Linked DNA regions of Drosophila melanogaster. The protein of the gene in region 2 interacts with the protein of the main gene of each other region in a pairwise test. Each region holds a gene or a part of one and is shown on either strand. Other genes may lie near its edges. The genes, in order: CG30089 and COX4L.

Region 1 (3,928 bases), about 10 Mb from region 2:
GCCACTTCCTTGCGAATCCATCCAATTCGATTCGATTGATTCCTTCGTCTCAGCTTTACGTACTTTGACACACTTCCAAGGCTCCGTGATGCCTGTGCCCCCAGGGACTTACATTTCCGCTTAACTATTGTTGGCGGGGCAGGAGTTCTTAGGGATCGAGCGGAGGGGATGGTGGCAAAGGAAAGGGAAAGCGGAGAGTATACTCCTCAAATTGAATTTGAAGCCGGGTTCCCTTCTCTGTTATTTGCACACGAGCCGATATTCCACTTCTTGTGCCTTCCCATTTTTAATTTAATTCGGCATTCGGCGCCTTTTGCTTTGGCACTTAAAAAGTTTTTCCCAGTGCCCGAAAGTAGGCAACGCATCCCGACCCGTATTCGATATAGGAAAAAATCGTGTCAGTTAATGCACTGTGGGAAAAATAGTATTTAAGGAAATAAAAGTAAACTTTAAAAGTGGCCTTAATACTTTTATTTTATATGATGAAAGTTTACATTAATAAAGAGCACTAACACATATAGATTGGTTTACTTAATAGTTCAGAAAACACAGTATTACGTATTTCAAATCGTTGTATGTTTCAATCATTTTAAAATTGCATTGACACAAAACCAGCAGACAGGTTGCTCAAAACAAACTAAATTTAGTAAAATATTATTTCATGCTTTAATTTAATTTTGCTTTTAATTCTGTACTATTTTTTCTCACTGCTCTGGCATCGAAATGCGCAAACGAATGCGATCGAGTTGCTAAATCACTTAAGCCATTCAAGTTTCGTTTCGATTTTGAAGCGAGGCAAGGAACAGAGAAATTGTGATAGAGAGATTACTTTTGTAGTTGGGAGATTTGTTAGGGAAAGCTGGAGTATCAGTGCTGCGGATTGACTTCTGAGGCATGCCCCAATAATCCGCACTGAAGAGATGAATTCCCAAGGCCCGTGCACTGCATAATTAAGTGCGGTATTCAATTTAAGTTTTTCCTACTTCTCCTAGGGCTTCAATTAACGAACTAAAAACAAGCTGCTAACTTGGTCAAAACAAAGAAGGGCTGCAGCGAAAGGTGCTCTCCACTTACCATGCAGTTCGCCTGCCCTTCGGATCCTACCGTTGTGAGGGGCAAATACAAAACAGGACCTTAAAGCTGCTTTGACTGGCGGCTGCTCTTCAAAGTTTCAAGGCTCTGGCCAAGTTTTTTTTTGTCCACCTCGAGTCCTTTGCGAATGTCAGGGGCGGCGGCGACGGGGGCGTTGTGATGCGCTTAATTATGCTAAAAGCAGGCAGCAACTTTGCCAGCTACAGAAATGAATATTTACACCTGCCCGGATGCAAATGTGCCGCCAATGTCAAAGCCATTCAGTGTCGTAGTGCCAGAGGTAAACAAAACTCCGATATGTATCTTTTGGCACTATTCAATGCTAGTGATTTTATTTAGTTAACGTGTTTCACAAATCACTTTCGAGTCCAAAGTTTTTGGGCTGCTCGTAAACTCTTTTAATGTTCTCAAACACTTTTAGAAGCCGCAGCTATTTCTCACTTCTTACGACTTTTGGGAATTGTCCCGTTGAAGACCGGAAAAACACTGCACAGGCTTTTGCGACGGAAAACGCGAACGAACTGACTGGCTGGGAAACTGAACAATGGCTTTTCAATGCTAACTTGGCTCGGGCTTGGAAAACTCAACACGCGCTCTCTGCCATTTTTTGGTGAGTCTGCGCACGCTTTTCCGCGCTCTGTTAATCTGCACGTGCATTTCACTTCCAGGAAAATCGTCCCGCATCCGCTACCAACCGAAATGTGTGTGGAAAATGTTTGTTTACATTTGGCAGAAAGCAGCTGGAGAAGGAGGCGGAAGGACTTGTGGGAATCGGGCCCCAATTGGATGTTGCCTACTTTTGGGCCCGTGAAATATGACTTCTGCAATCGAAGTGGAGATGCAATTGCATTTGGCCTAAAGGCCTGCAACCAGCTGTTCCGGAAGCGTTAGTTAGGCTAGTAAGCCGGGCTAAAACCGATTGCCGACACAGCTTTGACACAGCCTCCATCCATCTAATGAACAGCCGCCTTTCGCCGGCTGCTGATGGACAAAGTTTTTTAATTATCATTAATGAACTCGCAGGGCGCAATCATTGGCCAAGTTGTGCTTTGCAATTATTTTAATGTTCAATGAGGTTGCTGCAGCAGTCATCGCCAATGATTTATTACCGCCCCCTTAGCTTTTCCGAAGGCCATGGCCGTCGGAGTCCAGAGTCCATAGTCCAGAGTCCAAAGTCCGAAGCCCAAAGTGTGTGTGAGTTGCCGGCATTGGCAATTAGATAGCTGAAGGGAGGGGAGGTAGCGGGAAGGTCCATGAAACAGCGTTTATGTTTAATGCGTTATAATGGCCGTTGTAAGTGTACATAAGTTGATATAAAAGTTTTATGGCCCAGGCGTGAGCAGCCTCCGGGATCCGATATGGAAAAAGGAAAATGCGGGACGGCAAAACCGAAGGGGCAGGGAAACGGGCTGGATAGTAAAACCACAATGGAGCACAGCGAAAACAAACAAATCGATGAGTTATTCCCAAAGTTAAGGCAATTGAAATTTAGATTTAATTTCACTCTCGACACTCTGGTCAGAAAATAAATTATTGACTTTCCAATTGAATTATTGCCACTGCCGGCTAAAGCTACAAATTTATGATTTTTGTTATGTCTCTTTTTGGCTGGAAAACCCCAAAGATGGGCTTTTTTGAGGTTCTCGATCGGGATCAAGCTGGAACATAAATAATTTAGCCCAGACCTTTTATTGAATTACTCTGATATTGCCAGCCATAAATTATGTATATTCAACAATTTTCCATAATTTATGCGTGCTTCAAAACAATTTAACCCCCCGCCCGCCACATGAAACACATCGATGGAAATAATTTCAATAGAAAGACCTAAGCGTATGCGGCGGCCAAACAAACACGCACGAATGCCTCCCCAAAACACGCACACAACCACACACACGCACTTTCAACCGCCCACGCACACAGCCACACGCGTACGTGTGCTTAGACAGATATCCGTATCTATAACTGCCTCACAATTGCATCGCACTTGCCACGGAAAGACCGATAAAAGAATAAACAAGGAATTTGGGGTAAAAGCGTCCATAAAACACACTTTCAGTTAACTTATTTATTATATATATTTTAATGAAAACAACGTGCAACATACAAACTTTAAAGAAGGGAAATTTTCTTACATCTCCCATATGACTTGATTAAATCATCATGGAACTTTAATCAGCATATGCAGCAAACAAAAATGTTTTAAATATAAGATCAAATAGGTTTCTTAGCAAAGGAAAGGAATATATTGTAGATGGGTGTTACCCCTTCATAGGGCAGTGCCCTTAACCACTTCCATTTCGCTTTTACAACCCTGCCCTTGCAAGTGAGCCGAAGGACCCAGACCCCATTTATGACATATGCGCAGGTCGAAGGGCAGTGGTGGGGGAGTAGGGCCTGCAGCCGGCAGACGCATCGCCAGGACAACTCCAATCCCCTTTCGCCGATCCAACCCCAATATCCCCGCCCCCCTTTTCAGCCACCAGAGGCAGTGGCAAAAAATCTTCGGTTTAAGCGATTTCGCCTGCTTGGGGCAAGAAGTTTTTCCTTTTGATGCCGCTGTCGCTGGCGTTGCATGGAAAATGGCTGTATATGAATCGGAATCCGCAGATCCACACTTTCCCACCCCATGGCAAAGTGTGGCAGTTGGGGAAATTGGGAAAAGGAGGTTGGGGCAGCTAGGTAACCGTAAAATAGAATGGAAATGGGAATGAGGGCGCTGGGGTACTGGAGCGGGGTGAAAGGCAAGAATTGCAATAAAACATAAAATTGCTGACTTCAATTCGTTTGCCATTTAGGTTTCGTTTTCCATTTTTTTCCCATGGCCCAGATGGGC
Region 2 (3,099 bases):
ATACGACATAATGCCACTCCTTAGACCAGGTCATATGAGCTCGAGCAAAACTAAGGTTTTTTTTTTTTTTTTGTTAGTTCGTTGTGCTTTAAATGTTTAGCTTTCTAAGTCACCCTTGGAATCGTCGATTTGCTCGCGCTTATACCACTTTTTTCTCGAATTTTGGCGGAGGAGTCGTGGGAATTGGAAGCAATTCGAAGTATGGACCTGCAATCTGCCGCGGTAACGACACGGTTATTGCCACAATTATAGTTTTTTCTATAAGATTCCTTGTTTTTAATAAAATTTTGTTGTCCTACCTTTCAAATTATGGACGATATTCAAAACTGGGGGCGCTAATCTGATGATGCAAAACACGTGTTCAATTTTGCGCCAAAGTTAACACAAAGCAGAATAAAAGAGATAACTGTTCTTCTCTCAACCTCTTTTTTATTCTCAAAGAGAGAGGGAATATCAGTGAACAAAAAACAATAACATTGATAGATTTTCGTGCAATGGAAAATACAGATCATAAGATGAAACGGTGGCATACAGGGAGGCGCTAATCTGATGACGCGCAGTGTACGTGTACTAGTCAAAGGAACACAGGACACGATTTCAATGCTTAACATATCTATCGTGGACTAAAATTACACTAAATTAAGTTGTGTCTGAGAATTTACATACACACCCTAATTTCAAACGGGAGGAAATGCTATAGTCGAGTTACACAGCTAGAGACACAAAAATCTATAGATATTGGGTATTTGCCCGATTCAGCACGTAACGATCAAATGGCAAGCGACTTTGCTGTTGAATTGTATTTTGCTAGTTACGTTTCTGTACATAGTTTACGGAAAATCATCGTGTTGATGTGCTACTTCCACTTGTTCTCTCGGTAGCACCATTTGGACGCTAGTCCAGTTATTGGGTTCATTTGCAGCTGGATGATGCGCCGCAATTGGGCCGACTGGCGCTCATCGTTAAACGTATCCGGCAGTTTTCCATAGAGAACGGTCTTCATAGTTATCGATATCGCGATTCCGATTGACACAAGCCACAAAGCGACGCCCAGACACATCTTCCATTCGGGTGTAATGTGCTGGAATTCTGCATATGTTTGGCAGAAGCTATATCGGTATAATTGCTTCTTTTCATCCAGCGACAGCTTCTTCCAGTCGTCCAACTCCTTTTCACGTAGGGCACACAACTCTGGGCTAACCTCCCGATATCGAATAGCCGGAAAAGGGCAGTCCGGACTATCGAAGTATATGGGTCGCCCATTGATTCCATGACCAACGACCTGGCGATCGGCGACCATAAGTCGAATACCATCTCCTCCACTGGCAAACCGACGCCTCGTCATCTGGAAAAGTTTCCTCAATTTCATACAGGGAAATAAGCTCATTTCGACGGCAGTGTACCTGTAATTATGCGCAAGCACTTGGTCGTAACTGTACCTTGAGTGTATTTTATTTTATACTCGCTTTTCAATTTTTTGTTTTTTACTTCATCCGGAAATTCGACAGTTGTGTTGCTCGTGTCGAATGAAAATGAAATTTCTCTAGTCTGTTTGTTGAATACAAAAAAAAATATGACAGTTTCCTTATCTACAAACTAGATGTACTTTTTAAGTTCTGAATTGCACTCTTCGTTGAGCACTAAGATAGTCTGAAAATTTTACTTCTTCTTAAAAATTGTTTAAGGCGTGGCAAAAATTATGAAGATCAAATTTTTTGTCACAAAAAAAAAAACAAACATTTTTAAAAATGGCTGTCATGTCAGCTCAAAGAAGCTGGGTTCGGAAAAATCGAATTTTTGAAATCTAGAACTGTTTGCCCAATAATTATTTTTTTTGCCCACGTCCAGTTTTCAATATCTGAAATTTTGATAAAGTTTAAGAATCAACTAGTTGACTTTTTTCAAAAATTTTTAAATCGCAATAACATTGTTGGCCCACCCTTAAGAATTTTAAAAAAAGCTATACTTTAGAAAATATAAGACATTAAAGACAATCTCGCTCTACTTAGAGAATGAAGCATTTGCCAATCTCTTAAAAGTAAATATCATGAAAAAAAAAAACACAAAAATAAAACAATTCCGAAAACAAAAATTTTAAAAACTTTCCAAATAATTATTTAATAATTAAATTTGTAATTTGTGAAAAATTGTCGAGCTATTCTTTAGATATTTCCTATTTTTACGGTTTTTTCCCCAAATTGCCTCTTCGAAGCCGAAATCAAAATCAATCCGTCCCTCAGTGTTAATTGGCAGGTTATCATCTATATTGGCACGAACCAGAGTGGCTGCAAGGGCCACGAGAGCTATGGCCAGCGAAAAGCGACACTCATCCAGTGGCAGAGTAAGCGCAGCGCGCGGTCAAAGTGCATTTCGTCAAAACCCCGTCTATCGACTTCCTCGAACGTTTTTCCAAACTGGACATATGTTCGAGGGCTGCCGCAAGGGCTCGGTCCCGCCCAATTCACGACCCCTAGTTAAGGAATCCGAGAGGCAGAAAGAACTCTGGTCCCCATTGCGCAGAACCGAGCATACGGCGGAAGCAGAAGCATCTGGCAGATAAAAGGCCCCTTCCAGAGTCCAGTCCGTTCGGGAATCTGTTTCCATTCATAACTATGCCAGCATTCGAAATTAAAAACAAGAAATGTTTCTCGACTATTAGAGTGTGTGTTTTACCCAGCAAGTGTGAATGCGTACTCCAAATAATAAAATTAACGAAACAAAATAAACTAAAAACAATGCTTCAAAAATGTGGGCTTGGCGGTTTTGGGATGTTTTAGGGCATTAGAGTGGGCCTTTTAAAAAAGTTTTTTGGCAAATATATATAAATTACAAGACTAATAAAATTATGACAAAATATCCAAAATTTTTAAAAAAAAGTGGGAGTGGCAGCTTTAGGCGCTTTTAGGGCGTTAGAGTGGACGTGGCAACCAATTTATTTTTGCAAAACGATAGAAATTTACAAGACTAATAATAATGTAAAAAATTAATTAATTAATAATTATAAAAAAATTAATGTAAAATATAATTTTATAGTTCCTGAATCTTGACGTTCATACGGACAGACGGACATGGCCAGATCGACTCGGCTATTGATCCTGA

The links.
Region 1: the proteins of COX4L (region 2) and CG30089 interact in a two-hybrid assay, tested with the Drosophila melanogaster proteins (one large-scale study listed by BioGRID).

The regions. Positions count from the first base shown.
Region 1 is NT_033778.4:15,725,073-15,729,000, reverse strand, and holds the start of CG30089 (uncharacterized protein), read right to left. Parts: upstream 1,621-3,928; 5' UTR 1,075-1,620; intron 1-1,074.
Region 2 is NT_033778.4:5,352,413-5,355,511, reverse strand, and holds COX4L (cytochrome c oxidase subunit 4-like), read right to left. Parts: upstream 1,519-3,099; 5' UTR 1,467-1,518; exon of another isoform or gene 1,404-1,466; 5' UTR 1,388-1,403; coding exon 857-1,387; 3' UTR 789-856; downstream 1-788.